7 linked regions of the Danio rerio genome follow. The protein of the gene in region 3 binds, or shares a complex with, the protein of the main gene of each other region. Links are inferred from orthologs where the notes say so. Each region holds a gene or a part of one and is shown on either strand. Other genes may lie near its edges. The genes, in order: lsm4, lsm6, prpf4, snrpf, sart1, snrpd1 and snrnp200.

Region 1 (4,966 bases), on a different chromosome or scaffold from region 3:
TTCTCTCAAGTTTATATTCATCCAGTTGTCGCAGCTGACCAGATGGCCGTTGTATGTCTCGCCATTCTTTAACTCAACCAGCTGAAAAGAAAAGCAGATTAACTTAAAAGCTCAATTATTGTTCAGCACTTCATTTTAGGGCTGTGCAATTAATCGAAAATTCGATTTCGGCTTCTAACGATTATAAAAAAACATTAATCGAGATAAACGATTATTCCATTATTTACCGCCCCCGTCCAATTGTCCTCACTTGTTGCTCTTAAAAGCGCGAAAGACCACATGCTTGTGTGTGTGCGCCGCACAGACACAGTCAGAAGCATGCGGTCAGCAGTTGGTCTTATTCGCACATTGCGACGAGCAGAGAGCACACACATCTAAAGTCATTAACGTGAGCGCTTTAATGTTCAAACAGGTGTCAAAACGCAGTATTTAGTGATTATTCATATTAACCCTCATTTGTGTAATAAACAAATGAGTTGAGAATCAAATGACGCGTGAAAGCGAAACCATTAAAGTGACAGAGCACAATAGCTGCCGCCTGTTTTATCATAATTAATAAAACAACGAGAAAATCCCTCTCTGCTCTTAATTGAAGTACTATATATATATATATATATATATATATAAATAAATAAATATATATATATATATATATATATATAAATAAATATATATATATATATATATATATATATAGTCCTATTTGTTTTACTTAAATAAAAGCAGTTTTAAATAAATAAAAAAACATTTTAGGGACAATATTATTAGCCCCTTTAAGCTATATATCTTTCTAATAGTCTACAGAACAAACCATCGTTATAACATTTTGGGTTTATTTGTTTTTCCAAATCATTTTCAGGCCTGGAAAATGCCTTGTCAAAATTCCATGACTTTTCAGGACAGTATGATCCCTGATCATGGCACCTTTAACTTCGTGCTGACAATAAAGATGCACGCATGAAGTGAGCTGCTTGATACTCACCATCGGGTGGTTCTGTGCCGTCTTCAGTAAAGATAACGGGAGCTAGAAAAGAAAAAGAAAGAATTCGAGTGGTCATGCTAACAACAGAGTAAATGAAGAGTTTCTTCTGTGCTCACAATGGAATATTGTTAATTGTTATTCAATTGGAGATTACACTCACTAACCAGAATATGTGACCCTGGACTGAGCATATAGGACAATAACTGGGTTCAAGGTTAACAGCGGTTTGGAAAACTTAAAATTTTAAAATTGCTATTATTTTTCAGATATTTTTTCTATGTTATATGCAAGTTTTGTTTGATTGTTTGATTTCATTTAGTTTTCATTTAGCAACACTATCTCCAGCAGAAAAGGACCCTCTACATCTCAAGACACCGGTTAGCCCACGATTCAGCAAATATTTGAAAAACAAATCGCTTATGGCCTGTTTTCACTGAGTGGTACGGTTCGGTTTGGTACGCTTTTATGGCCATTTGCACTGTCAAAAGGCGAACCGAACTGTACCACTTCTTAGGCACCATTTCGAAAGGATACCAAACACGAGAAAGGGTACCAAAAGGCGGAGCTAGATGTGCAACTGAATGTTCTAGGTTTACAGAAATACGTCATTCGTCTACGCAATAAGCCAGAATGAAAACAAAAAACCTGCCATGTTTAAAATACACAGCCGAGAGATTACAGCGTACAGCATTTAGCATGTATTTGATCATTAAATGTTAAAAACTCAGTCCTGTTATTCATATAAGCCATAACAGGAGCGAATTGCATTCTCTGCTGCATATATAATAATGCAAAAAAAACTATTGACGTAAGATATAGAGGTAAAGTTAGTTTTATTTTCGCATTTTCGTTCATTTAGAAGTCCCTATAATGTTTAACATGAATATTTGATCGGAATTAGCGTGCAAACATGACTTCTAAACAACATTAACACCATCTAATTGACTGTAAACAATGCTGTACTTTGATAATCATTTGGCTGCTAATTTGATTTTCCAATTTAGAATTTGCAAAGAATACTTTTCTATAATTATATTATTAAGGGGAAAGTCTGAATATGCGAATATAAAACTAAACTTACCTCTATATGCAAGATGATTTACTTGATTATTTAGGTACCATTGCTTATATATTTTAAACATTCACTCACTGTCCACTTTATTAGGTACACCAGTCGAACTGCTCATTAACGTAAATTTCTAATCAGCCAATCACATGGCGGAATCGAAATGCCTTCAGGAATGTACACATGGTCAAGATGATCTGCTGTAACGTTAGTTTAAATCGAGCATCAGAAAGCTGGAAGAAAGGGGATTTAAGTGACTATGAAGGTGGCATGGTTGTTGACGGGCTGGTCACTAATGATGTTTTCAAGTCATATACACAAGTATACTTGCATGTGATTTTAGACCAAATGTTTAAAGTACCATGGTAAACAAGGTAGGGAGCATGTCACAAGTTGTCACTGAACGAATGTGCGAATATAAAACCGACTTTGGATATTCTTGATAAAACTACGCCAAAACCTTTCTGACTTCTGAAGTTCCTCGCATGTCTGTAGAGATAATTTAATAGAGTAATAAATGTATAATAGCCGTCTACATTGATTTTTAACTAATTTTATCTATTTTACTAAATAAGTACGTAACGTGCTTGTAAAGATTCGTGTATACACCCAAATAAAACGTTTACACAACGCTTTGTTTCTGCGCGTAATCGGTGTTAACCGACCTACAGATCATCCAATAAACACAGCGGAAAATCTTAATTTCACTAACGTTAGCCAGTAAGTTTATCGACTTCATCTCACCATGTCAGCTGAATGACCAATCAGTCTTTATATGAAGTTTTAATCCACTGAAGACTTCAATCACAAATGATTTTCTGTGAATCTTCTTCGCAGCACAAGGCGATCTGCAAACCACTTACTGTTGTACTTCCAGGTGAAAGCGGAAGTTGTCAAAGCAAAAGTCCCAAAACGCTGCGTCCCAAATCACATATTTATACTACGCCCTAAAAAGTATGTACTTTTTTGTAAAGGAAAAGTTTATACTTTTGAGTGTGCAACAAAAGAGTATGCAAGCTTTGAGACTTACTACTTCCTCCTTAACAGATCGCTGTGTTGCTTAGTTATGCCCCGTGTAAATCATCCACACATCATCCAGCAGCAGGTTAATCTGCCATTTATGAGTCCTTCATGCAGAAAGTTTCAAGGACACCAGGACCATATTAATGTAATTAATGACTGCATGTTGTAGGGGCAGAATGGAAGCAGAAAGGATTCTTTATAAGATAGTTGAGGGAGACTCGGATTTAAAGTCTGACAATCAGACAATTAAATAAATACCTTTTATGTTAAATTTGTTTTGAATTAACATCACCTCTTTTTTTCTTTTGAGTTTGGCTCTCTTTTAGACTAAACTGTTTCAGGAATTTCAACACAAAAGGAAAAAATGGCTTTTGTTTTCTTTTTGTTACATTGATATTGGATTAATATCCCTTTACAGCCATATCCTGTAGAGTTTTGTTGTCCGAGTTTGGCGGTTGTTTTGAACCAAAATGGATAGAGGTAAAGTTGGTTTTATATTCGCATTCAGACTTTCCCCTTAGTAATATAATTTTAGAAAAGTTTTCTTAGCAAATTTTAAATTGGGAAATCGTATTAGTAGCCAATGATTATTAAAGTACAGCATTGTTTACAGTGATTTAGATAGTGTTAATGTTGTTTAGAAGTCAGACTTGCATGCTAATTCCGATCGAATATTCAAAGTAACATGGTAAACAATATAGAGACTTCTAAATAAAGGAATATGTGAATAGAAAAACAGCTTTACCTCTATCTAAAATGGTCCTGTGGTCCACTACAGTGGACATGCTATAAAATAAAAAAAAAGTGTAAAAACTCTAAATTGTGAAAAAAAATTTTAAACCCAAAAGATGTAGGAAATCACAGAAAAAAGCAATAAATAAAATAAAATAAAAAAATCAACACAGATTCATTCATTCATGTAGCAACACAGTCAACACTGCATCACATGTTTATTAAATATAAGCATATTCACGCTATATACATAATATTAAATTGTACAAAAGAGAGGAAATTAAGAGCCAACTTCTGTCGCTTTTGCACTTTTCTCATGTTTTTTCTTTTCCTTTTTGCTCTGGGGGTTTTTTCCTTTGAGTTTCTTATTTTTTCCTCGGATCTTCTCTAATTCATTTTTCCTTTTTTCTTCCAAATCAGGATCCTGCAATAGATTTAAAATTAAATCAAGGAAAAAAAATTGTAAAATTATGCATGTACACAAAAATACTTTATAAGAAACATACAAATATACAAGTTTTTTTTAAAAATAACTCACTTTTCCATCCAGAATCATCTGCTTCCTTTTGTTTATCTTCTTTTTCTCATCAAAATCTGTCGACTCTAATTTCTATAAAAGAATTAACAATTGTAAAACTTTATAGCATGCTTTAGATATATAAGTGTATATATTCTACCTGACAAAAGTCTTGTCGCCTATTTAAGTTTTAGGAACAACAAATAATAACTTGACTTCTTAGGGTTTTCACCTTGGAACAAAAAACATGGGTTATTCTTCTGTCCAATACAACATCTAGTAAAAACAACTTGATCAAATCTAGTCTTAAAATGTCTTCTGTGTGAGATTTCAGGTTGAATTTCATATAATTTATAATTTTCCAATGCATCCCATTCTTCTTGCCACTCGTTTAAAATGTAAACATTGATAAAAGGTCTCATCTTTGATGGAGGAATTTGTAAAGACTCAATTAACTTAATAATAAAGTCATCAGGAATGGCAAAGAAAGCGTTCTTGCAGGACTCCCAGTGTTCATCAAGATTCTTTAGATTCATCTTCAAAGCCGCCTCCATCTTATCCCAGATAAACTCAATAATGTTCATGTCTAGTTACTGGGGTGGCCAATCCTGGAGCACCTTGACCTTCTTTGCTTTCAGGAACTTTG
Region 2 (4,802 bases), on a different chromosome or scaffold from region 3:
AAAATCACTTTTCAAAGTCAACTTGTAGCTTTTAAGGTACTTTTCACTTTTTATTAAAAAAAAAAAAAAGTAAAGCAACTAATAGTTTTTTACAATGTATGAATTCTTTCTAAACATAGGTTATCAAGTTATCTTGTTAAATGATATTTATATTACAATGTATTTTGCAGAAAAACAGAAAAATCTGCCATTTTTTTTCAATATCGTGCAGGCCTATTTCAGTATATTGACTTACTCCTGTTTATATTTTATAATAAAAGTAGAAGTATAGTAATTAAGAATAGTTGTTGTTAATTTTTACATAGATTTGATTTCATATTTTAAACGTCAACCAATATTAATTTCCTTTTTAGTTGATGCAAACTCCACTCTTGCTTTAACAAGTGGAAATAAAACACTGGGGAAAAAAATCAAAGGGTCTTTAATATTGATTTAGACAATAAAATGCATGGAAATCAAAAAGTTTGATAACAAATATCCAAGTGTAAGAAAATGGTGGCAATACTAAAGGAAGGTTTCAGACTAAAAGCCTTAGATCAAGAGCAGGATACAGCAACTGAGGTAAAGTTGGTTTTATATTCGCACATTTATTTAACGACAACTTGCGACACGCTCCCTATATTGTTTCCCACGGTACTTTGAATATTTGATTTGAAATCATAAGTAAGTTTGACATGAAAACAACATAGTACTATCTATTTGACTGTGAACAATGTTGTACTTTTATAGTCATTTGCTGATATGATTTTACTATTTAGAATTTTCAAAGAATACTTTTCTAAAATTATATTATTAAGAAAAAAAGTGAGAATATGTGAATACAGGGCTCAACAATAAGGACTGCCCAATGGCCCGGGGCTAGTGTGCGAGATGCTAGGGACATTAAACAGGACCGTTACTGGCCTAATCAGGTCTTAAAATTAAGAAACTGTTATTTCAAGCCTTTAAATACTACCTTCTCAGTGAAGTTGTAAACACCATATTGCTTTTCGCTTCCTCTTATGTGATTGGATGATGTGAGCATGTTATTTTTTTCTAAAACTTGGTAAAAACCAGTACAGCAAAGAGGCGGCAACTTCAAATTATTAAGCTAAAAGAAAACGTCTGTTTCTAATGTCTTGGGTACAACATGACGAAAAAAATGTGATGTTCTGCACAGTTTGCCGCAAGTTTGGCAAGTCAGCCACATTTTGTTAAATAATTTTAAAGTGCAATAAAATACCTGCACATTTTCTATTATTTTTTTGTTTGTTTGTTTGTCTGCATTACACTATAAATTTTGCTTATTTTAGATTTATTAGCATTAAATGCTACATTCGCAGATGTTATTTTTGACAGAACATTTAAAATATGTGGCTAGGATATTTTTTATTACAGCTTTTCTCAGTCGCTTTTGTGCGTTTCTCACAAAACTAGTGCATTTCTGCACAACAGTTAATGCATTTCTCAAAACAATTAGTTTAAACTGCAAAACCTAGATGATAAACTGCAAAAATGCGTCACATGCTCAAAATGGATAGTTCATTCCTCAAAAGCAAGTATTGATGTTAATCAAAGTGCCAGTATCATCAAAATGAAAAGTCCTGACACCATTGTTTATGAACAAGATAGTCACATGGCTTTGTCCTGTTTTCATGATGACAGTTTACTCTGTACATTTTTTCAATGCAAAAAAAGTCAGATTTTGTTGACACTTCCTGAAAATGCTCAAGACAACACTGCATACTATTTGCACAGCCATTTGAAAACTACAGTAAAGTTAGACATCACTGCATTTAGTGAGGAATCGGAGTACAACAAACTGAATATGTATGTTTCACATTTTAACTGTATATACTCTTTGCAATTCTAATTTATTCACACCATTGTGCAAAAGAATACATACACCCTTATTTACAACAAACAAACTCCCTTTGGGTAGAGTTGTGCACAACTGTACACAATATTGCAAAACATATAGGAACTGAAACTAAAATACACACAAGTCTATAAATCAATCATGAAATTGTTCAATTTTTTAGACATTATCAGGAAAATAAAGATTTAATTTTTTTTATAAAATATTGCTTAACAGATTTTGACAACTAGTTCAACATTTTTGTATGTAATGACTCAAGTAATGAAATGAAAACTATTTGTTTTATATGGAATGACTACTCAGAATTCACAAGTTTAGTTGACATAAGCAGATGATAATGTTATAAATATCAGAGAGTTGTATGAAAGTAATTGATGCATGTCCAAAAGCATCTGCAATGTGTTGGAAGGAATGAGAAACTGCTAATAGGATGTGCACAAATGACTAATTATTTTGAGAAATGCATTAACTGTTGTGCAAATGTAAATAGTGCTGTGAGAAATGCACCAAAGCCACTGAGAAAAACTGTAACTTGTTATATTTGGTCAGACCAGTGAAAAGTTTCGGGCCAGTAAAAAAAAAATCTTTAGCGTTGAATCCTGGAATATAAAACTTACTTTACCTGACACAACTTTATCCATATTTAACTTGCATGTGGCAGTGAACTTGTAATAAATTACAATAAGGAAATTATGTTGTTTTCTTCAAGATTGACTTCCAAACCATCCTATTTTATTACCTCCAACACAACAAATATGATCAGTCCCTTCATGCATACCCTCGATAACTTGTAAATGATAAATGTAAAATACAAACATAAAAACAACCGCATATTTCAGTTTGTACCTCTGTAATCGACACCAGAGTTCAGTTTCACCACCACTGGCCTCCCAATGATCTGCTTCAGGAAATCACTTGGTGTCTGCTTTCGGAGACTCATTTTAGCTGAAAATGAATGACAATGAAGTTTATGAATAGCTCTTATAAAAATGAACCATGGCTGCATTGTTAACAAAAAGGATGTGACAATAACAACAAAACGTACTAAAGACGTTTATTTTAAACCACATAAGGGGTTTCCAGAAGAGGTTTAACCTTATTTGTTTGGAAATTGCCGGTGAACGTTATCGATAAGCGGCTAATTTAGCATGCTAGCATTCCAACCCAACGTATCACTTAATAAACGTGTCATCGTATATCTAGCAAGGTAACTACAGTGCTGCAGTTTTTTAAAACCCCACTAACGTCGAATGCATTCTTATATTAAAGCATACAACATTTAACGTTATTTACCTATGTCGTTTAGCAACGTTAACCGCACGTTTCGACTGAGCGACTGCTGACCAATGAGCTCGTCCGCTTATTCTAGTTCCATGGTGTGTACACCATTCAGCCAACCAGATGCTTCGTTAGAAAGCCAGTGTACGGAAGCCGACAAGATAGCGTTATCTCCTTTGACAAAGAATGCGTAGTGGAAAAAAGAGCCAGATCGACGGTGGCAGTAAAGACGGGGAATCGTCGCTTTTGCTACATTAGGACATAAAATCGTTAGACAAACAGAAGAATGACAGATGAGCTGATAAAAATGGACGAACAAACAGACGTATAGAAACCTAGACTGACAGACAGACAGACAGACAGACAGACAGACAGACAGACAGACAGACAGACAGACAGACAGACAGATAGATAGATAGATAGATAGATAGATAGATAGATAGATAGATAGATAGATAGATAGTCTGTCTGTTTGTCAAAGTATTTTGTGTACATTGTGTATAATAAGCAACTTCAGGTTGTAGTTGAGGTGTGGCTAAAACATGTAGGAAAAAAGAAGATCCTGTATAGCCAAAAGAGAGAGAGGGAGATGGGGAAGAAAAAGCTGTCTTTTGTTCACAGGCAGAGGAGGGGATGCACCTGAGAGACAGAATCATAAAGCACTTCTGGCGCATCCAGACAGTTTGCTTGTTAGCAGGGCATTGGTAGCCCTGAGGAGGCTAGAGGTTAATTTGGTATCTGGTGCTGTGTTAAACTAAGGTCAGCGCTACAAGTCCTTAAGTCATAAACAAGTGTGGTTAAGAGCCGTGTACACACCTAGGCACGAGTTAATGAATATTCAATGAGTATTTTTCCCCTTGTTGCCAGAGTTCACATCCTAAAGGAGGGTTAAGAGAGAAAAATGTGATCTAATGCATTTTCCTATCAAAGCAATCATTCATTTAAGGAAAAAAAGGAAAGAAATTGAACGAGTTTACAGATTTTTCGGTTGTGGCACACAGCACCGGGATTTTCAGTTGTAAACAAATATGGAATATCATGACAAGGAAGCTGACACAAGCACTATGATGCTTTCTTGACTACTGGAAAAGCGTGAATGGCTTGGCTTGTTAAGCGATACTGAATAAAACACAATAGAGCTCTACAGACACAGAAAGCATTTCACAAGCTTTTTATCTTTCAGTTTTGCCTGTTGCTTGGTAGAAGATGATTCTGTCCGTCTCACATAAAGAGGGCATTTTAACCTTAATGTGCTGTCCTTCAAAAAGTTTTCAACTTAACATTTTGTAGACTGATGTGAATGTGCATAAAATTTTGACTGGGAACAAATAAAAAAAGCATTTGCTTTTCCTCAGTCAGCACAGACAATCCACTCTCACCGCAAGCCTGTGAATAACCCCACAGCTCCTATGAAAACAGTAGCGTGTTGGTAATAACCGCCCAGTGATGCCAGATGGGACTGTTTTCACCCTGCCTTCAAGACGCTGGTGAGCTCAGATGGACAGTGGCACAGTTGATTTGCTGGTACAACCCGCCTCACCTTTCTAAGCCCCCAAAGACCTGAGAGGGAGTGGAGGAAAAATGAAAAGATTACAGAGGCAGCTTCACTAGGGTTGGGGGTGGGTCAGGCTGAGGGGTGTCAGATGCGAGGGGAGGGGGCTCCGTC
Region 3 (4,176 bases):
ATTTTCTGCTGGAGATACTGTTGTTCTACAAAAAAATCTTACACATACCTTGGGAATGGTATTGCAGACAATTGACAGTTTTAAAACCTTGACTTTTTTCATCTGCAGTATACCCTGAAAACGTTTATCGTCCCATGCCTAGTTCACACTGCATGACTTCAAACATCGGCAGATAGCTGTGCTGTTTACACTACACGACTTGATTTTGGGTCTTTAAATCGTTGTGATGTTCACACTACACGACACTACGTAATGATCCACAAGACAGGAGTCACACACTAGATGATCTGACAGCAACTCGTTCCCCATTAGCTCAGTCCAACTACCAAACCAGTCAATACATTTTTGAGGGAGGAGCCGTCAGAAAAAGCTGAACACTATTGGCTGCTTGTGTGCTGATGACATCACTGACAGAGTTTCAAGCTTTGAATGGAGCATTTAAAAACATCTTCAATCAGCTGATGCATCAGTGAATCAATCGATTTAACACTAGACCTACAAAAACAGTCAGAGTTTAAAATTTTTTGTAATTAGATTACTTTTTGAAATACAACGGACATCTATAACACCCTGACGTTTCCAAAATATCTGTGTATTTCTTTCTAGTTATTTTATTTAATTACAAAACAGAAAAGAACTGAGCATTTCTACCTTTAATCACCATATCGGTCAAAATGACTGCATGCATGTTTGCTACTTTTCGCTGTGACTTTAAACATGTGTGCCTTGCAACTTCCTGCTAATATAAACACAACTTTCTGATAGCAAAAACAGAAATTTACTTCAGATATAACTTTCAAAACAGCATATTCTGTGTAAAATAGCTCCTGTTTGAAAATAAAAGCGAGGCCCAAACCTTTTTGGGTGTTTTACTGTTTTAACTACATATTTATAGGCTGTATTACCAAAAAGATCATATTTTTAGGGTAGTGGTGTCATGAAATATGACAGACATTTAAAGCTTAATTTTAATATTTCAATAGAAGCTTTGAATGGAAAATAATGTCTTATTTGAGAACGGTCAGATGAGCAGTATGGTAATTCTAATATATGTAGATTTCTAGTTCCTTTGTTAATATAGCCTACTCTCATATCAGTGTTAACACCGAATGAAACGAGTGCATCTATGCCCACTCTGGCCAATCACAGACGTTTCTATTAGCTCCCGAGCACAATGGCCATTCAGCGCATGCTGATGCCTGATGTGCTCTCTCGTTGGCTGCAGCTCATCACTACATCTGACCACATATGGGGTCGAGTGGGCCGACTGCTCTGGAATATTCAGCATGCTAGATATTGGATTTTCATCTGCGAGGTTTCAGCAACGCAACAGCGAGCCTTTTTGATGCGTTGTTCAGTAGTTTACGCATAAAGCCTGCCTCGCTCCCCCAGATTTTTCCCCAATCACAGCCTGATCTGTCAGCGAGCTTGGTAACTTCGGGCTCAAACCAGCCTTAAAATCTTAAAATCACCCAAGAATAAAAAATTCTGACATTATTTATATTTCCAAGCCTGAGTTTCTTTCTTCTGTTGAACACAAAATACAGTTTGAAGGATGTTGAAACGCAGCAGTCATTGACTTCCTTCTAGTTTTGTTCCGAATATGGATTTCAATGACTGCCGTTTCGTCAGAATATCTTGTTGTGTTCAACTGAAGTTTAAAACCAATTGAGTGTGAGGACTATTGGGTGAACCATCCCTCTAAATCACTGATGCACAAAACAAACATCCTGATTTGAATACTCACGTTGGAACTTGACAGAGGACACAAGGTTCTGATGGGCTGGGATTGTGTATATGCACCGTCTCTGGCGAAGGTCCCACACTTTACAGGCATTATCTCCACTTCCCGTTGCCACATGAAAGCTGCATAATGATGATTGCAGGGTTATGATCATTATAACAGTGAACGGCTTTGGTAAATAATCATACGGGGTTACATTAACTCACCCGTTTGGGGAAAAGTTGATGCTGTAAATCTCTTTGATGTGGCCCTCTAGGAACATGACACAGCGACCAGTGCGCAGGTCCCAGACACGTGCAAATGAATCCAAACCACTGTACATTAAGCAATAGAGCATTAAAGCAATAATCAAACATTCGATCCTTTGTGAAAAGTTTAATTCATCAAAAAAAGCTGTTTAAATAAACAACTTCATGAAGTGAAAATATATGTGGTTTAGGCTTTTCTTATACAAGACCATTGCTGCAAGTAGACAGACTGGGTTAAGTCAAGTTTTTAATTGAGTGTCTAATCATGATTATGAAAGTAGCTGAAGAGTTTATGCCTATTCTATTACAAAAACAGTGGAGCGCATCAGGGTTTAGTGTGAGGCCCTTACCCAGTTCCTGCCAAAGAGCCATCTGGGTGGAAGTGCAGATCATGGACGCCTTTACTGTGACCCTCCTGATGAAGAATTTCTTCTTGGACCTCAAGATCCCAAAGTCGCCATGAGTGATCATAGCTTAGAGAGAGGGGGAAAAAAGCTAATAAAACTATTTTACAACACAAACGTTTGATCAAAACATCTAATATTCATATTATTGTTCTGGTTCACATATTAAAGAGCCCCTAATATGAGTTTTTGAAAATGACCTTCCATGCAGCGTGTTACACAGCTCTAAGTGAGGCTGAGGTTAAAATCTAAAAGTGCAGCATGTTTAAAACTATTGATTCTTTAGCGAAATATTTGACTCAGTCAAATAAACGAATCAAGTTGGGTTTGGATATTTTGTTAGATCGCATCGACATCAATACAGTACATCACCAAATATGTACTTCCACTTCCGTTAAAATATGCATGCTCTCTCCCTCCACACACTAGTGGAGGCGCGGGGGATCGCAGGACTGACCATGATGTGAAGATGAATTTTTGATACAATAACCTACGCTGCATCTACCGTTTGCTATTGAAGGAGCAGCAGAGACTATGGGACTTTTTCAGCTCAAATGGACCAGTTTCTTCTTCCTTTGGATCCTAACATGTAAGTGGCATAAAAATTGTTGCCCCGTTTTGTGTAGTTTGCAAAATATGCGTTTAATTGTGTGTTATAAGTTGTAATCACCCGTGCTTGTACTGTATCTCTCAGGTTAAATCTGTATGGGGCTGTTTACATATCACGTAAAAAAAACGTGGTAAAAACGTGACACGTGCTTCTACCTTTACCAATTTTAAGTGAGTTTCTGAACTGGCGATCCTCTGCTATGCTTTGCTATGGCCACCATCAGCTGTTCCTCACACACGCAGCATGGTCAATTTTTTAAAATAGTTTAACTTTTACAACAATGTGGATTAATACTGAATACTGTGGATTAATACTGTGTGTCTTTGTTACTACTTGGGGTTTGGGTTAAGAGTAGAGCAATATGCTGGCCTTTAACTGCATTGATTTATTGAATTCCTGCATTGGGCTCCAACATACTCTCTGGCTGCTATTTCATAGCCATGGTGGGCTTTTCTCTCTGTCTCGTGCTAAAAGCAGTTGATCAATCACAACAAATTAGGTCATCGGACCAATCACTGCAGATTAGCTTTGCGCTACGGAGGGGTTTGGGAACTAATGAATCGTTGAATGATTCATATGGGAGTCGCTGGGATAATTAGGTAAAAAAAAAAATGCATATTATAAGACAATGAAAGTGTTTTTTGACCTTACATGCAGATCAGCGAGTTGCTGGAGACCCCCAAAACCAGAAAATTACATTTTTTAATGCAAAATAGGAGCTCTTTAAAACAAATTGACAAAATATAAATAGATTCATACCAAGTTGTGCCCAGAAACCGGCCAGAGGGATGCCAGGTCACCCGAGCCACCCTCATAGAGTGTCCCTCAATGTCTGCTATAGGTTCATCACTATTAAAAAAACAGGTGAATGTTACAGTTTTCCTTCAGATAACAGATTTACATAATCCTAAAAGATACACACCTGTCTAAACTCCACAGCTTAACAGATCCATCTGCAGCACAAGAGGCCATATTGACATCTGACTCCTCAAGTGTTAGTGTGGCTTGTGGGTGAAAGCTAATCGCTCCCACATTGGTATTGTGACCTGAAGAGGAAGGGTTCACCAACGATTAATACAACGCTACAAGCTGCTCCTCAAAAACTAGAACACAAACAGACAACTTGATGAATAAACATTACAGAATATATTTGCTGTATTTACCTCTTAA
Region 4 (4,663 bases), on a different chromosome or scaffold from region 3:
AAACATTGATGTAATAATTTAAAATGTACATTTTCAGTTATTGCCATGTCGGAGTTTCCACGTCCAAAAGCTTACCTGATGAGCACCTCACCAAGATGACCAGCTAACGCTCCATCCACATACTCTTCTGTGTTGGCCAACTACAAATATCGCAAAGAGAGAGGCAGTTTAGGGTTTATTGCCATATCAGTTTTGCGAGTCTTATAACAAAAGTATATGAAATATACAAAATATCATTACAATATATGTAACAATAAAAAGACAAACAACATTAACAAATAAAATTAGATAAAAACTTAAAATAGTTTAATTCTACCATCTTCGAAAGATTCACTTTTTTTTTTTTTTTTTTTAAATAGTTGCTTTAAGGCACAGGTGTCAAACTCAATTCCTGGAGGACCAAAAGCTCTGGACAGTTTAATTCCAACCCTAATTAACCACACCTGATCAAACTAATTGAGTCCTACAGTCGTTTGAAACCTACAGGTAAAGCGGCAGGCACACTGCACCCCTATAGACTTCCATTTATTAGCAAGTAAATGCCTTAGACAGGAAACGCAAGCTCGTGCCACAAGTTTCGCAGTTCGATGTGTTGGAAACTTAAAGCTTGGTGAACTCTGACCAATAGAAGATCAAAACACGACCTCTCTGTACAGAAATTTTAAATATGGTCAAATCGTAATCAGCTTGTTTAATCCCGCCCCTTTTTGCAGCACCAAACGGCAGAATTTCACATGCTCAAACTGTAGTGTGGGGAAGCAGGGTTGCAACTAAACTATGCAAGACTGCGGCCCTCCAGGAACAAAGTTTGACATCCCTGCTTTAAGAACTCTCCAGATAAAAATGGTTATCTAAAACATTTTAAACAGGGCATTGCAAAAGTATCAACTCGAGTTGAGTTTTATTGTCATTCCGCTACATCTGTGGACACACAGTGAAATGTCTTGCAGGACCACAGTGCAACATAAATAAACTATCATAAATATAAACAACCCTTATAGACATAAGAGCGATTTTAAACCTATACATAACTACATAGCAGAGCAGTAATTAACTATACATGTACTAAAGACCTTTTTGAGGGATGTAAACAATAACAATGGTCCTACTGTATTTTCAGTAGCTTCTGAGAGTCCAAAAAGTCCCACATATTGATAGTTACAATAGCTGTTATAATAGCTGTTATATAAGTTATGAATGAATCGCCTCTTGTTACAGATATGAATTGACAACAAGCAGGAAATATTCATGGGCCAATGGCATCACCACATTGAAACGGTCTATAAATAGTAAAAAAAAAAAAAAACTTTACGCATAACCTTAGACAGACTATACAAGTACTTTTATATAAGACAGAACAATATTGTGCAAAAGAGATCATTTAAGGTTGAAGGAAATGACCAGTTAAACAATTTGTGGTACAGTCACAGGTAAACATTGTTTTTTTTTTTTTATTAAGTCCTTGTAAGAGATCTAGAAAAACTTGCATTTAGAGAGATTAGCATTTCTACAGGTGGTTTGTCAAGCCCACTCACCTGTGTGAACCAATCTCAGAAATGCACAATGTTTTATAGAGCTATGAAGTGGTTGAAAGAGAGGGTCTGGTACAAATAGACAAAACTAGTGCAAGTGTGTCAAGGAGTGTTTATAAAGCCCACTCACTTGTGTAAGGCACACTCAGAATTGCTAAATATTGAGGTTTTCATATGAAGTGTATATGCTTGACAGCTAGGTTGCCATTACAATATTTACATTTTTGGCCACCTTCTGCTTTAAGCAGATGTCTGTGTGTGTCTAGCATCTCCATAATGGCATATACAACGGTATGTCTCGAGTTAAAAAGAATAGTTTAAATTTTCTTCCTACTAAGGAGCTGGATTTTCATAGAATCGTTAACTCTTTTAAACATACCTGCATGTTCATGTACCCATCCACTGACACCAGGTAGCCCTTGTACTCCATGCCCCACTTCAGCTTCACCATCACAGGCTTTCCTGTCAGACCATTCAGAAAGGGCTTTGGGTTCAGCGGCAAACTCTGAGGGAAAAGATCAGTGTTACACAATTAACATCATTCGAAATCAATCCCTAAGTGTCATTTTCAAACAATTCCATGTCAACATAATATTGTTCCTGAAGAAGTAAAATACTACAAATGTTGATGATTTTATTCTCAAGTGAGTGAAAAGCTTAGAAGAAACTTTAGCATAGCCTCCGGTGATGCTCAGTCATATTTGACCAAATAGAAAAAAAAAAAGATTTACATTTTGGGTTTTAGTTTTTTTTCTTCATCAGCTTGTTATAACTTTTAGTAAAAAGTTTTGACACTAGCCGCATGAATTTACACAAGCAAAATAAACAAATAATAAAAACAAAACAAAAACAGATACAATTGATATGACTTCATTTTAAATTGTAATGACAAATTCTCATTACTGTAGTTTGTGGTATAAAAAATCAAAACACGCATGCATACACACAATATATATATATATATATATATATATATATATATATTGTATAACTTCAATAAAACAATATAATAATTTACAGCATTAATTGTTTTTGGTTTCCACCAGAATTAGCTGCAAATAAGCATCAGTAATAGCAGAAAAAACTCCTTTAACGTTAGTTTTTATCTTTAGTTTTCCCACACATATATCATTTAATCGCATTTTGGGAGTCACCGACTAGGTTGTAAGAGAACAAGGAGGAACATTTATCAGCAAAGCTCAACATTTCTAACACAACACTGAAAATGACTGAAAACAACGTCCAGTCTGCGTTCCTGATGCTAACACCTAGCCGCATTATCAGCGTATTTATGAATGAAAACGTCTACGCTCTTTCGCCAAACTGAAGGTTTGGATACAAATAAAAGAGATAACGATGAACTTACCATGACTGGATTACTTAAGTAGTATTTTCAGACACAAAAATTGTTTATTTGAATAGTATAAGCTAATGCAGCACACTCGCACGCCTTGCCGCCGAAAGAGGGAAGGACTACGAGCGCACTTTGACCGCACGGCAGGAGAGAAGAGCGGATCTGCCCGCTGCGCCACTCGCTGGACAGGCGGGGAATAGAGCCGTGAATCCTCAGTTGAGCTGGAGTGGAGGTCTGAAATTAAAGAAATAGTTTATCCAAAAATAAAAATGTACTTACTATAAACTATTTCCGTTTGATGATGTCGTTGGCCCATAAACATTTCCTGCTTGTTATAAAACTGTTTCACAGCTGTATCAAGAGGCAATTCAACCATAACTTAATGTTAAAACAGTTCTTATAACATTATTTATCAATATGTGGCTCTTTTTAGATTCTCGGAAGCTATAGAAATTTAAAATGTAAAACAGGAAATACGTAAGGACCATTGTCTTTTGTTTAGATTCCTCAAAATTGTCTATATAGTCACCCTTGAGGGGTTTCTAACCTTAATGAGATTCTTTTTTTTCATTTGAAAACAAAAATAAGATATTTGGAAGTATGTTAAAACTGGTATTGTTGTTTCGAAAATGTTGGACACCGGTAACTATTGGCTTCTATTGTATTTGTTTTTCATCATATTATAGAAATGGTTACCAGTTTCCAAACATCTTCTTTGGTGTTCAGCAGAAGAAATAAACAAGTGAAGGGTAAGTAAATGAGAACATAATTTCATTTCATCACTATCCCTTTAAAAAAATTAATATGTATAAATTATTTTATATATTTATTTTGTACCATTTTTAACAACTCCCAAAACAGCAGCAGTGGATCATTTTATCATTTCATTCAACGAGAACGGAAACTTGCAATCATTTACAGTCTTTTAGATTTGTATTTGAAAGCACAACACATCTAATTTCTCTTTGATTTGTACAGTAATTTAGCTTTGCAAAACTATTGACCCTCAATTATATAAATAAAAAAAAATGCAAATATCCCACATCAATCATTTAACCGAAGACTTGCCCAGTAGGTTTTTGCATTTCATTACCATCTATTCAAAAGAGGTCATGTTTGAAATGTCATGTACAGTGGTGGATAGTGATGGACAATATTTTCTTCCCCAGAGAGGGTGTATATAGTTAGGTTAGTTAGTTAGCTAGCTAGTTGGTTAATTTATTTGTCCCTGTAGGGTAATTTCATTTGCAGTATACACTCACAGAGACAACTAACATTTCAAATTTGCCATTTATATAAATAAATCATGAAAAACATGGTACCCCTACTCTAAATAAATATCTAGACTACTGGCCATCAACTGCTACTGAGGGAGGAGGAATTTAAAAACTTAACTGCTTACGGTATAAATTAAGATTTTGTCCTATTTCTCACTTATCTGGCAACACAATAGTGATGACCTGATAATAACACTTGGAAGGTGTATGGAAAAGGATGTCACTCATCTTTGACAATCATGATAGCCTTATTTAGTACTCTTTCTTTGTATGTACTATCTATCAATGCTCTTTAGTTTTATTCCCAACAACTTATTGGCTGTAGTTGCCACCTTCCCCAGCAGTGACCTTTTCTGGGCCTCAGAAGCATGTCCATACAAACAGATCACACAAAGTGTTGCAGTACTTGAATAAAAGTACTATAAAACATGATAAACAATGTGTTGTCAACATTAAAAGATAATTGTTTCTTAAGGAAGTAATTTCTCTGTTGAAGCTTT
Region 5 (3,502 bases), on a different chromosome or scaffold from region 3:
AGGGCAGGCCTACTTATTTTATTCTTTTTATTTAGTTCTTGCTTTTTTCCTGTGCTGTTGGAAACACTGCATCTGCATGAAGATGTGCTGTGATGTTCTGTATGCTGCTGTTTGCATTTTAAAATAAATCTGTATTGTAAAACACAATATTTATGGTGTCACACAAAATAGACACGTCAATTTGTTTTTTAAATTAAGTAATAATTTAATATTTATCTGACCAGTTAAAGGTTAATATTTGGTTCATGAATGGGTTGGCAAAATTAACTGAAATGAGCATCCCTAACTGGATTGTTTGCACTTTGCAGGATTAAGTGTAAGATCATTTTACTTTGCTCAACCAGACGATTATACCAATTAAAAACGTCATTAGCTAGGAAAGGAGTGGTTTGTTTTAAAAATATATATTGTTTAAAATTTTATAATAATTGCTAAATACAATGTATTATATAAAATTGTTGTATTATAAATATGAATATAAATTAATTGACACTTTGACGCTACATATGGGCTTTGTTAAACTGTAAATGCTGCTGCTTCAGTGAAAACATGGAATTGGTGGTGATTTCTTTTATGATAACCCAATAGCATTTATTCATTCAATACAAAAATTATGCTTTTTTAAAATACTTTTAATAGTTTTTATTAGGAACAAATAACAAGTGGAAACAAAACAAATAATAATATTGATTAAAAACAAAAACAATATATAAATATACACATACATGTCTGTCTGTCTGTTTGTCTGTCTGTCTATCCATCCATCAATAACTCATTTCTAATAGCTGATTTATTTTATCTTAGCCATGATGACAGTAAATAATATTTGACCAGATATTTTTCAAGACACATCTATACAGCTTAAAGTGATATTTCAAGGCTTAACTTGGTTAATTAATGTTAACTAGGCAGGTTAGGGTAATTAGGCATGTTATTGTATAACGATGGTTTGTTCTGTAAACTATTAAAAAAATCTAGCTTAAAGGGGCTAATAATATTGACCTTAAAAGGGTATTTAAAAAATTAATAACTGCTTTTATTCCAGCCGAAACAAAACAAATAATTCTCCTGAAGAACAAATATTATTAGACATACTGTGAAAATTTCCTTGTTCTGTTAAACATCATTTGGGAAATGTTAATAAAAGAAAAAAAATCAAAGGGGGGCTAATAATTCTTACTTCAACTGTATATTTATTTACACAGACACACACACACACACACACACACACACACACACACACACACACACACACACACACAAATGCATAAATTCCACACATATGTACATACAAACATAAATATTACATTATCCTCTTCAAGAAATAAATAAAAAAAAAGTTTGCTAAACTTATTCTCAATGGTTCATAACCTCTAAAATTATGTCAATGTTAAAGTATGGAAAATTATATTGTCATTGTGGTGAAAGTCAGCCATTAACTCCATTTTTTTTCCAAAGATCTCTCTTTGTAATCAAAATGCATGTGTCATTATTTCAATTTCAAAGATGATGCATTTAATAGTTAATCAGAATGTGTAAAAACTCATTTAATATCAATTTAAGAGGGGAAAATATCCCAAATATGCGGATTTAAGTAATTACCAGCTGATATACAACACTGGATAAATTCTGCTTAATTATATTTAATAATCATACTTCCTATTTGGACAGATCATTTTTATTCCTAGAAAGTCTGAATGAGAAGCACATGGAGATTTCTGAATAAATAAAGAGATTCTTCACCCAAAAATACAAATGTACTCTCAATTCGCTCTCTTTTAAGATCTTCCAAAAAAAAAGAGGATATTTTATTTCTTATGTTCAACACAAAAGAAGATGCTTTGAAGAAAGATGAAAACCTGTAAACACTGACATCCATAGTAGAAAAAAAATACTATGGAAGTTTATGGTTAGCGATAAAAATTTTTTCAAAATACATTCATTTGTGTTCAACAGAAAAAAGAAACTCAAACAGGTTTGAAACAAGGGTTAGTAAATTGATTGATTTTTCTTTTTTTTCAGTATAGGGTGAACTGTCCCTTTAAGGCTGAGCTCTGTATACTATCATTGTTGTCAAACTATAAAGCTAATGTCCATTTTGCTTGTCCGTGCAGCTGCTGAAGAAGATGAGCAGCAGTGATACTCCTCTGGGAACCGTGGCACTTCTGCAGGAAAAGCAGAAATCACAGAAAACTCCTTACATTGTGCTGAGTGGCAGCGGGAAAAGCATGAACGCGTACGTATTTTATTTACACTTTCCTTTTCATTCTGTCTGTATTCTGTTCAGTAATTGGTTTTATCTTCTTCTTTTTGTTTACAGAAATACCATTACAAAATAAATCTTTATTCTGGAACAGAAGGACAGAAAATCTCACAAAATGCGCTCATTTTAGCTGTCTCCTAAACACAGTTGCAACTGGTGATGTATATACAGACATTGTCTTGTATGTGAATTTAAGTCCCTTATTTGATTTAACTTTTTTGTTTTGATTGACAGTTCTCTGTAGAACCTTATCTGTCTTGTTTTTTTCCCCTCAATAAAAACTGTTGCGATTTAAGACTGGGCTAATGTCATCTGAATATATATATATATATATATATATATATATATATATATATATATATATATATATATATATATATATATATATATATATATATATTTTTTTTTTTTTTATTTACACTGATTATATCTGGTGTGGCACAGTGGCTCATTGGTTAGCACTGTCGCCTCACAGCAAAAAGGTTGCTGATTCGAGTTGGCGTTGGTTTAATCCAGGTGCTCCGGTTTCCCCTCACAGTCCAAAGACATGTATTAAAGGTGAAATGAATAAACTAAATTGGCTTTAGTGTATGAGTGTGAATGTGAGTGTATGGGTGTTTTCCAGTACTGGGTTGCAACTGGAAGGGCATCCTCTGTGTAAATCATATGCTGGAATATTTGGTGGTTCATTCTGCTGTGGTGGATGAGGGACTAAGCCGTAGGAAAATGAATGATTATATCTTACAATGTTTTTCACTCAAGTTTAGATCAGTTCTGTTTCTTGTCCAATTTAAATCTAAAATCTTCTGGTTTGAAGGTTATTGGCAAACCATAAAGATTTAAGATGACAATTAGTATTACGGCTACTTGTAATTTGTCAATTTTTTTTTACATGATTTTAATCAACATAATATATTATGTTGTTCATAATTATAAGGAAAAATCGGTGGCAATAGCCTAGAGGTTAAGCGCGCCAACATATAGCACCATAGGGCTCAGGGTGACCCAAGTTCAATTCCCGACTCGAGGTCCTATGCCCAACCTTCCTCTCTGTGCTCCCAGTGCTTTTCTGTCTCTCCTCCACTATCCTATCCCAATGAAAGATGAAAAACCCCTAAAATTCTAATTATAAAGAAAGAAATGAATCCACTTGATGAGCAAAATGTTTTTTTTTTGGAACATTTGCTAAACTATTGCTAAACATTTTAGCATACCTGTCAACCCTCCCGTTTTTCACAG
Region 6 (4,877 bases), on a different chromosome or scaffold from region 3:
CATTGCGTGTTTAACAATTTTAAAAGGAATAGTCAACTTCTTTTTTTAAAGAAACAGTCTCATTTTACAACTCCTTAGAGAGTTAAACAGGCGAGTTTTCCCATTTATGAATCCGTTTAGCTGATTTCTGGGTCTGGTGAGAGCACTTTTAGCTTAGCATAAATCATTGAATCAGATTAGACCATTAGCATCTCACTTGATTCTTCTGTAGTTACATTGTGTATTACAACTAGCAAGAAATGAAAAGTTGCTATGATCTATATCAGGGGTTCCCAAACTTTTTAACTCGTGACCCCCAAAATAACAATTTTAGTAACTCACAACCCCACTATCCTCTGAGGTGGTTATAAGTAGGGCCAGATGGAATCTGCGGGCGTTTTTTGCTATTTCTGCGGAGAGTTTTGGTAAAGATCTGCGGAATTATTTTGGGAGTATCATAACTAAAACCTTAATATATGACATAAAAAAAAATATCTTTATATAATTTTTATTTAATGTTTAAAATGCTAATCCAATTAGATTCACATTATTTGGTAAACAAAGCAAGTCTCTCATATAATATCTCTACTAAAAGACAGAAAATATTACGGTACAAACTGCATTGTACATAAGTCAGACGAACATTTTCATATTAGTCAATAATATTACTGAAATAAATGTAAAAACTGAATTAATATAGATTTACACACATTTACTCAAGTAAATAAACAGAATTAATGATGGGCTAAACATCAGCGGAATTCAGCTCGCGCAAAATAAGTGTGGGCCTAGTAATAAGCATACAAACACTGTACACAATAATGCACACACACAAACCAATAGCAACTATATAAACAAGCTTATTGACAACACAACAAAAGTGCAGCAGTTTATCAACCATATCATTTTATAGTCACTATTCATTTGTTTAATTTAATATTAACCTCACTTAATGAGAATTGTGAAATATATACAGCACAAGTCTATTCTTGATTTAATTTCGGAGACCGCCACTTGGAGATCGTCCTCTATGTTCAGTCGTGGCCTTTATTTTTAATGTACAGGAGTGCTGTAAATGTGTCAAAGTTTAACATTGAGCCGTAAAATAAATCTGCTGCAACTAACACTATTGCTGTGTTATTAATCTAGCGTAATCACTCAAGGAGTCGTAATCCAATGGAAAAATAATGTAAACGCTGCTGTCTGTTTATGTACATGTTTTTGTTTTAAATGTAACTATTAAACACTATCTTCTGCAGGTTATGGATAAAATATGGTAATTTTAATAATTTATTTATATGTATATATTGGAAATCACCAAGCAACCCCCCCTCAAGGACTCACGACCTCCCAGGAGGTCCCGACTCCCACTTTGGGAATCACTGGTCTAAAAATTGAAAATCTCCACAAGTAAAGATGTAAATTTTCACACAATACCATGATCTATTGTTTTTCTGCTCACATGATTATTATAATACGAGTCTGACTCAGTGGCATTAATTCATCAACAAAGTATAACAAGTTTTCTAATTATTATTATTAGCACAATATAGGGCATATACAATGAGTCTTTTTAATTCAAGTTTATTTGTATAGCGCTTTTTACAATGACTAGTGTTTCAAAGCAGCTTTATAAAAGGTGCACAGTATTGCATAACAATCCAATTAAGTCAAGTCATTTTCAGCTAAAAGGTTAAATGCATTTTTTCCGGGAGCTGACAGATGTAATTGAGGTAAAGTTGTTTTTATATTCACACATTCAGACTTAATATAATTTCAGAAAAGTATTATTTGCAAATACTAAATAGGGGAATCATATTATCACCAAATGACTATAAAGCACAATATTGTTTACGGTCTAATATTGTTTTGAAGTCATTCTTATATGTGATTTCAGATCAAATATTCAAAGCAGCGTGGTAAAAAATAATGAATCTGTATTCACCTTTTTAAATACTGCTTTGCTATTTCATAGAACGCCAAAGTCTAAACCTGCTAATATAAAACCAACTTCACCTCAATATAAGCACATTTATTGGCCACCTATGAGATGTAATGCATCAGATTCAAAGAGAAAATGCATAATATGACCTCATTTAATGAAACAGGCACATAGCAGACAGTTTATAAATGTGATTATGGTGCATTACTTAAAATAATAATTACCTGTAATTGTGCCATGGACCTGTGTGCCATTCTTCAGCTCAATCGTGACGGTTTCATGGCTCAATTTCATCAAAAACCTGCAGGTCACAATCATAAAAACAATGATAAACAATTATAATAACATAACGTCTAATATCTACATATAAAGCATTTTGTCAATATGATTATATAAAGTATTTACAGCTTACTAATGATAATAAACTGATAACTATATTTAAAACAAATGATAAACTATATATCCAATAATCTTTAGACTTCCTAACTACACACTATAGTGTCTATTAACATAATTATATGATTATATACAGCTAGCATATTTAGAAACTAGTAAATAAATGTAGCTAACTTAGCATTAACAGTTATTGTTTCTGTTTATGTATTTGTTGCATTTAAGACCCCGCATGATCAAACTACCACCAAAAAACGCACAATGTATTAATAATCTAAGACTAAACCCGCTTATTACATAGTTTAAAACACGTATGTGCTTAAAACAAATGAGTAAAACGTTCAAACAAACGCTCGCCCATTCATTCATTCCCGCCTGATGAAGCTAACGGCTAACTAGCAGCTACACACAATCCGGCTCCATCTATTAAAATACATCGCGCATCCGCAAAGTTTCTTTGTGTATTTTACTTGTATGACAGCTGTAGATGTTTATTACCTGACGAGTTTCATGATGGCGGTGGACTTTGAGAGAAAATCCTCCACCTAGATGAGAAAAAATTGTAGCGCAAAACGAATGTAGGACGCTACTGGAGAGATGGTACAATCACTTCCTGGGTGAAAGGGAAACAGAATTCTGAGGACAGAAGGGTTGCCATTACTCAACAAAATCACCGGAATATTTTTACACGCTGGTAATTTCATTTATAAGCATGTTATAAACATACAAAAGCGAATTTAAAATTTTAAATGTTGCTACAACAATTTTTATTATGATAATAGCTTAAAAGTATTTTTCAATTTCGATATCTCATGGTACATAGGTTAATAAAAATACACTTTTAATTAACCAAAACAACAATAATTTAATCTCACAGTAAATAGTTTCCTTAAAGCATTCTTTTAAAAAACCAAAACAGCAATATTAATCATATTTAAGGCTTCAATTGCGTTTTAAGATAATAAAAGTATAATACAGATTTAAATTTTGACACTTTTTTTTCATAAATGTTTAAATCTTTTCCATATCACAGCGCAGCTACAAAATATGATTTATTTTAGACTATGAATAAAAATATACTATAATAAAATATTAACTTTATTCTGTTTTTTTCTTTGTAATTATATTTTCTTAATTCAAAAAAATAGCATTCAACATCCACCGGAATAGATTTAGTTTTAACGTATCTGGCAACCCCACAGTGACGATACAGTAAATAGGTTAATAAAAACACACTTTTATTAAACCAAAACAGCAATAATACCCATATTTAAGGCTTTACTTGTGTTTTAAGATAATAAAAGTATAATACAGCTTTAAATTTAGACAATTTTTCATGTAGTGTCATTTTCATATCAAAGTGAAGCTCCAAAATACTGTTTATTGTAGATAATGAATAAATAAGATACTATAATATAATGAAAGCTTTATTCTGTCTTTACTCTATTTATATTTTCCCAGTTTAAAAAAAAAGCTGCATTTAACAACCACAGGAATAGATTTATTTTTAACGTATCTGGCAACCCTACAGTGACAATATCTCACGGTAAAGGTAAATAGGTTAATATAAACATACTTTTAATTAACCAAAACAGCAATAATAATCAAATTTAAAGTTTTAGATGCGTTTTAAGATAATAAAAGTATAATACAACTTTAAATTTAAACAATTTTTACGTATTTTTTATACTACAGTGAATCTCTAAAATACTATTTATTTTAGATAATGAATAAATAATATACTATAATATAATATAAAGTTTCTTCTGTCTTTGTAATTATATTTTCTCTATTAAAAATAACATTCATGCACAGTTGTGGATTCAATTTTAAAATATCTGGCAACCCCGTGGCGATATCTCAAGTAAAGGTAAATAAATTAATAAAAACATACTTTAATTAACAGAAACAGCAATAATAGTCATATTTAAGCTTTAATTGGGTTTCGAGATAATATAAGTATAATACAGCTTTAAATTCAGACACTTTTTTCACGTAGCAAAAGATTTAATTTAACGAATCTGGCAACCCCGCGGCAGGAAGTGAATCCCGGAAGTGAGCGCTCATTGAAATATCACGTCAAAAGTGGATCGAGGGATTAAAACACAGAAATCAAACCCTCGCTTTTCATCATGAGAAATCCCCGAGGGTTTATACCGAATAAATGATTAAACTAGCATAAAGCAGCGCTTCAGACCGCGGGAGAGCGATGTTGTGAGCGATGTCGCGGTGTGTATTTGGAGTGACGTGTGTTAGTGAGTGACAGCTCATCCTCTTCCTCGTCCTTTTCTTCATCTCCAGCATGTCATTGAGCATGTTATTATTGTCGGCGGGATCTGCGTGCAGTTAAGATGTTTCCGAAGACCTCGTTCACCAGCCTGATAGTGGGGGTGTTCCTGCTGTATGTGCTGCACACATGCTGGGTGATGTACGGCATCGTTTACACCAAACCCTGCGAGAAACGCCGAGCCGAAAGCTGCATCTCTCCATACCTGGCCGCTAAACCCAGACTGCAGGTCAGAAACTAATTTATACAAGCGTTATTTAATGAACAGTGCATGTT
Region 7 (4,720 bases), on a different chromosome or scaffold from region 3:
ATATTTTATTGCCATATTTTGTGTGTATATATTTCTATGAATATATAAACATGTATTTTACAGCCATATTGGTGTATATATCTATATATTTTAAATTATGAACATGTATTTTACTGGAAAATGTGTCACATATTTTTGTAAATATATAAACATATATTTAATTGTATATATTGTTATAAATATTTTATACACACACAAAGTTGAAGTCAGAATTATTATCTCCCCTAAATTATTCGACCCCGTTTATTTTTTCCCCCCAATTTCTGTTAAACTGAGAGGAGATATCTTCAACACATTTTATGAACATAACAGTTTAATAACTATTCTCTAATAACTGATTTATTTTATCTTTGCCATGATTATTTGGCTAATAATTTTGTCCCTAAAATGGTTGTTAAAAATTTAAAAACTGCTTTTATTCTAGCAGAAATAAAACAAATAAGACTTTCTCTAAAAGAAAAAAAATATTATCAGACATACTGTGAAAATGTTTTTGCTCTGTTAAACATCATTTGTAAAATATTTTAAAAAGAAAAAAAAAAAAAAAGAGGGCTAATAATTCTGACCTTAACTGTATATAACTAGATATAAACATGTATTTTACAGGGCTTGACATTAACACCTCCCAATTGCAGGTACACTTCAGCTGAGGCAGTTCAGACAGGCAGCCACTGGTGAGTTGAATATAATTTTAAAATTGTAGCTTAATTAAAAGTCCTATGTATATAAAGTACTTTAGTCAAATTTAAGCATCATAAATATATTTTCCCAACGACAAACTTGTGGCTAAATGCCAAGTGGCTAGAAACCTTGGAAAAAGAATAGTGTCTGTAGAGCAAAACCTTAATTAAAATGTGTAGCCTTGGCGTCACTTTTGAAATTCCCTTTTTCAGAAGTCAGATATCTTTAATAACATTACTTTCCAGAAGAGGCAGCATTTTCGTCCACTACACTTCAGTTTGGCTGAACCCGGAAGCGGAAATCACACCAAACTACGTTTTGAAACCGTCGTGCGTGTTTCGAGCGTATGGTGTGGATATCCACATAAAGAAAAGAGAGTTCTTTTCTACTTTAATAATATTGTAGTGTACGCGCTGTCCGTGCACATTAACCTAGTTTTGAATAACTAGCTCCATATATGAGTGCTGTGTGGTTTGTTTAGCAGTCTCTCTCTCCGCTAGCACCGGGTGTGCTGGTTAATACAGAAGACTTTCATTTCAGCGCACTTACAGTAATACGAAGCCATGGCGGATGTTACTGCGCGTAGTTTGCAGTATGAATACAAAGCGGTAAGTTTTATTACATGTCTAGTAGTTTGTTATGACATGTTATATGCTTTGTGGCTAAATTAGATCTTTTAGCGCGCTGAAGCGGTTTGTTTTGGTGTGCGTGAGCTCAGGGATAGTTCAACGCAAATTATAATTCTGTCTGACTCTCTTCTATTGAGCACAAAGTAAGATACTTTGAAGAATGCTGAAAACCGGTAACATTGACTAACGTTGTATTTATTTTTGCTACTATGACGTCAATATTGAGGTTAAGCTGGTTTTTGGTAGATGCGTTCAGTGACCTGTTGTGACATGCTCCCTGTATTGTTTACCATGGTACTTTGAATATTCGATCTGAAATCACAATTAAGTATGACTTCAATACAATATTAGCACTTATTATTTGACTGTGAGCATTGTTGTACTTTGATAGGCATTGGCTGCTAATTTGATTTCACTATTTCGATTTTTAAATTTTTTTCTGAAATTATATTTAGGAGAAAGTCTGAATGTGTGAAAATAATACCAATTTTACCTCAATGGCGTCAGTGGTTATCGGTTTACAACATTTTCAAATATTGTCTTTTGAGTTCAACAACAAAAGAAACACTTAAAAGTTTTTAATAACTTGAGAGTGAGTACATTTCCATTCTTGAGTGAATTGTCGCTTTAAACACGATTTAGAGTTATCTCTCTAGACAGCATTGTGATTAATTTAGTAGATTTGTTGCTTTGAATGATATTAGGGCTGGGCTATTTGGCTTAAATTCAAAATCTCGATTAATTGAACCTTTTTATTTTATTACGATTAATGAACAATTAATTGTTTAATTTTTTTATCCCATACTACAAGTGAGAGATTATTAAAGGGTGCATTACATAATTTTAAAATAACTGAAGGAAACACACACTATCTACTCTCTATTACTATTTATTGAACATCTATGCTGAACAACTGATATTTAAGCACACGTTGCCTTAAACCAGGGGTCGGCAACCCAAAATGTTGAAAGAGCCATACTGGACCAAAAAAAACAAAAACAAATATGTCTGGAGCCGCAAAAAAATTAAAAGCCTTATATAAGCCTTATAATGAAGGCAACACATGCTGCATGTGTTTTTATTAGCTGTATTAGCCTACTATAAAAATGATTTAGTTGGCTACAAATACATACTGAGCCTTCATGATTAAATGTTTTTTTTTTCCTGCAGTGCATCCTGTAGAGAATGACGCACCACGTGACTACTCTTTTGTACGATGCCGTCTCAAGTTTAACTTAATTACAATATTAATGCATTATGTTTAATGTTCGAGTTTAACTTCATTACAATATTAATGAATTATGTTTAATGTTAAAGTTTAACTTCATTACAATATCAATGAATTATGTTTAATGTTCAAGTTTAACTTCATTACAATATTAATGCATTATGTTTTGCTTTGATGAAATTAAAGAAATGCAGTAAAGAAATCAGATTTTTGATGTTTTTTATTTTGAGGATTCCAAAAAACAACATCAAAGTGAACGTGCATAACGTGCCCCTTACTGGGAATGTGCTCAACAAGGAAGGGTCAATCTCCAGGGGTGTGTGACAAGGAAAGACAGTCTCGTTTTTTCCTTTCGCCACTCGCAAAATCTGCTCCCAAAAGCAGTTTGCATATCAACGATCGCACCTTGTAAATAATCACCGTTGAGTGAGTGATAGGGATGGGCTTCTTTGAATTCTCTCAGGGAGGGAAAATGAGAGAGCGTGCCCCGCTGTACATCTTTGGCAAAGACAGCTTACGCTCCATGGCGCATCACACAGCCGCCGGATAGTTTACAACAGCCACCTGCCTATTCCATGTGTCGCAGGCTATGACGCAAATCTTCGTTGACAGAAATGTTGAAAATAAATATTTTACACACTTTTACAGCATTGGAAAACGTTAAGATTGTTTGTCCTCCTATAGAAACCATATTAAAACAAAAATATATTTACCTCCCCCATCTTTTTCTGTTTTCAAACATTTTTTGAAAAAGCTCCAGGGAGCCACTGGGGCAGCGCTAAAGAGCCGCATGCGGCTCTAGAGCCGCGGGTTGCCGACCCCTGCCTTAAACCAACAGTCACTTTTTTTCTATAAATATTTGGAAGCAAAATTAATTATTTTCAATGTTTTCAAAAGTATATAATAAACAGTATCTCTTCTAAATAAAATAACTCTTGTATATCCTGTAAATAGTTTAAACAGTGCATTTCTTGATTTTATTTATTTTTTTGTAAACAAATTATAGTGGAAAATAATTTTATTGTAATAGAAAATATGCTGTCTCAAGGCATATCTGGCGTGGCTTTCTTAATGCAAACTTGCAGCGTGTAGTTACATTGTTTGAGAGGTGCATGGGTATTCTTCCTCTCAAAGGCTGCGCCGGACCATACCCGTGTGTTCGACGCAGAAGTATAAATCAGCCTTAACAGAGCAGGGTCATGTGACTCCACATCCTGTAGGAAAAGATTTTTGAAAAAATTGACCTGGGAAAATTAGATCAATCATAGGTTCTAAATGTTAATTTCGATTAATTTTCAAATGATTGTCCAGCCCTAAATGATATTGTGTTTTAGCATAACGATAAGGATTAGACATGCTGATATTCATACAATATGGTATATACAATATATTGTCATAAATAACATCTATAATGCATGTTGGCATTATAATGTAATGTGTAACAGCGTAATGTTATAACATGTCAGATGTTCATTGAAAATAGTTATATTCTTTATGTACTTGTATGTTAGCACCTTACAGTGAAGCTTCATTTGTTAACATTAGTTAATTAAACTTAATTGATGAATGAAAACTACATGTAAACCGTTTATTTGTCTTGGCAAATGTCAACTTCCTTGTTAATGTTTAATAACTTGTTAATAACTAACATTAACTGCATTACTTTTTTAATGTAGCTATTTCTCACTTTCAATATTAGTTAATGTATTAGTAATGTTTATTGTTGCAAAGTGTTATTTATTGTACTTCATAATCCTTGTGCAATTTAATCTGCAATTTACTTTTTTGTTATTATACCTGTTGAATTAATCTTTTTGAAAACATCACATATTCTTATAAAAGCTTCAACAATCATGGCAACAAGATAGATTTATAGCATCACGCACTTATTATGCATATAGCCAGTTTGAGCTTGAGACTCAAACTTACCATCAAACTGATTGTGAGTGTTTGTGTTTCTTCCACAGAACTCTAACTTGGTGTTGCAAGCAGACAGATCTCTGATCGACCGAACACGCAGAGATGAGCCCACCGGAGAGGTGCTGTCTCTGGTCGGAAAACTGGAGGGGACCAAAATGGGAGACAGAAGCCAGAGAACCAAACCTCAGATGCTGGAGGAGAGGAGAGCAAAGTCAGTCTGATCACAAATGCATCAAGTTTGCTGGTAAAAATGTCTCAAATG

What was found.
Region 1: prpf4 (region 3) and lsm4 share a complex: the UniProt entries of both Homo sapiens proteins name them as parts of the precatalytic spliceosome. The link is inferred for Danio rerio from reciprocal best matches to the Homo sapiens genes PRPF4 and LSM4.
Region 2: prpf4 (region 3) and lsm6 share a complex: the UniProt entries of both Homo sapiens proteins name them as parts of the precatalytic spliceosome. The link is inferred for Danio rerio from reciprocal best matches to the Homo sapiens genes PRPF4 and LSM6.
Region 4: prpf4 (region 3) and snrpf share a complex: the UniProt entries of both Homo sapiens proteins name them as parts of the U4/U6-U5 tri-snRNP complex. The link is inferred for Danio rerio from reciprocal best matches to the Homo sapiens genes PRPF4 and SNRPF.
Region 5: prpf4 (region 3) and sart1 share a complex: the UniProt entries of both Homo sapiens proteins name them as parts of the U4/U6-U5 tri-snRNP complex. The link is inferred for Danio rerio from reciprocal best matches to the Homo sapiens genes PRPF4 and SART1.
Region 6: prpf4 (region 3) and snrpd1 share a complex: the UniProt entries of both Homo sapiens proteins name them as parts of the U4/U6-U5 tri-snRNP complex. The link is inferred for Danio rerio from reciprocal best matches to the Homo sapiens genes PRPF4 and SNRPD1.
Region 7: prpf4 (region 3) and snrnp200 share a complex: the UniProt entries of both Homo sapiens proteins name them as parts of the U4/U6-U5 tri-snRNP complex. The link is inferred for Danio rerio from reciprocal best matches to the Homo sapiens genes PRPF4 and SNRNP200.

What each region holds. Positions count from the first base shown.
Region 1 is NC_133186.1:6,965,815-6,970,780, forward strand, and holds the start of lsm4 (U6 snRNA-associated Sm-like protein LSm4), read right to left. Parts: upstream 2,911-4,966; 5' UTR 2,796-2,910; coding exon 2,793-2,795; intron 1,025-2,792; coding exon 983-1,024; intron 82-982; coding exon 1-81. Other genes in the region: probable ATP-dependent RNA helicase DDX49, read right to left, coding at 4,084-4,227, 4,342-4,413. UniProt on the Homo sapiens protein: Plays a role in pre-mRNA splicing as component of the U4/U6-U5 tri-snRNP complex that is involved in spliceosome assembly, and as component of the precatalytic spliceosome (spliceosome B complex).
Region 2 is NC_133176.1:39,344,398-39,349,199, reverse strand, and holds the start of lsm6 (U6 snRNA-associated Sm-like protein LSm6), read right to left. Parts: upstream 3,246-4,802; 5' UTR 3,152-3,245; exon of another isoform or gene 2,929-3,151; coding exon of another isoform or gene 2,904-2,928; intron 2,804-2,903; coding exon of another isoform or gene 2,799-2,803; coding exon 2,705-2,798; intron 1-2,704. UniProt on the Homo sapiens protein: Plays a role in pre-mRNA splicing as component of the U4/U6-U5 tri-snRNP complex that is involved in spliceosome assembly, and as component of the precatalytic spliceosome (spliceosome B complex).
Region 3 is NC_133180.1:62,709,495-62,713,670, reverse strand, and holds part of prpf4 (U4/U6 small nuclear ribonucleoprotein Prp4), read right to left. Parts: coding exon 4,170-4,176; intron 4,053-4,169; coding exon 3,929-4,052; intron 3,856-3,928; coding exon 3,766-3,855; intron 2,466-3,765; coding exon 2,343-2,465; intron 2,170-2,342; exon of another isoform or gene 2,059-2,169; coding exon 1,951-2,058; exon of another isoform or gene 1,867-1,950; coding exon 1,748-1,866; exon of another isoform or gene 1-1,747. UniProt on the Homo sapiens protein: Plays a role in pre-mRNA splicing as component of the U4/U6-U5 tri-snRNP complex that is involved in spliceosome assembly, and as component of the precatalytic spliceosome (spliceosome B complex).
Region 4 is NC_133182.1:19,363,755-19,368,417, reverse strand, and holds the start of snrpf (small nuclear ribonucleoprotein F), read right to left. Parts: upstream 3,089-4,663; 5' UTR 2,902-3,088; coding exon 2,899-2,901; intron 2,038-2,898; coding exon 1,912-2,037; intron 141-1,911; coding exon 76-140; intron 1-75. UniProt on the Homo sapiens protein: Plays a role in pre-mRNA splicing as a core component of the spliceosomal U1, U2, U4 and U5 small nuclear ribonucleoproteins (snRNPs), the building blocks of the spliceosome.
Region 5 is NC_133196.1:30,364,727-30,368,228, forward strand, and holds the end of sart1 (U4/U6.U5 tri-snRNP-associated protein 1), read left to right. Parts: intron 1-2,114; coding exon 2,115-2,236; intron 2,237-2,320; coding exon 2,321-2,339; 3' UTR 2,340-2,558; downstream 2,559-3,502. UniProt on the Homo sapiens protein: Plays a role in mRNA splicing as a component of the U4/U6-U5 tri-snRNP, one of the building blocks of the spliceosome. May also bind to DNA.
Region 6 is NC_133194.1:2,232,351-2,237,227, reverse strand, and holds the start of snrpd1 (small nuclear ribonucleoprotein Sm D1), read right to left. Parts: upstream 2,971-4,877; 5' UTR 2,827-2,970; coding exon 2,813-2,826; intron 2,223-2,812; coding exon 2,146-2,222; intron 1-2,145. Other genes in the region: lipid scramblase CLPTM1L, read left to right, coding at 4,666-4,830. UniProt on the Homo sapiens protein: Plays a role in pre-mRNA splicing as a core component of the spliceosomal U1, U2, U4 and U5 small nuclear ribonucleoproteins (snRNPs), the building blocks of the spliceosome.
Region 7 is NC_133183.1:33,117,153-33,121,872, reverse strand, and holds the start of snrnp200 (U5 small nuclear ribonucleoprotein 200 kDa helicase), read left to right. Parts: upstream 1-1,244; coding exon 1,245-1,289; intron 1,290-4,505; coding exon 4,506-4,669; intron 4,670-4,720. UniProt on the Homo sapiens protein: Catalyzes the ATP-dependent unwinding of U4/U6 RNA duplices, an essential step in the assembly of a catalytically active spliceosome. Plays a role in pre-mRNA splicing as a core component of precatalytic, catalytic and postcatalytic spliceosomal complexes.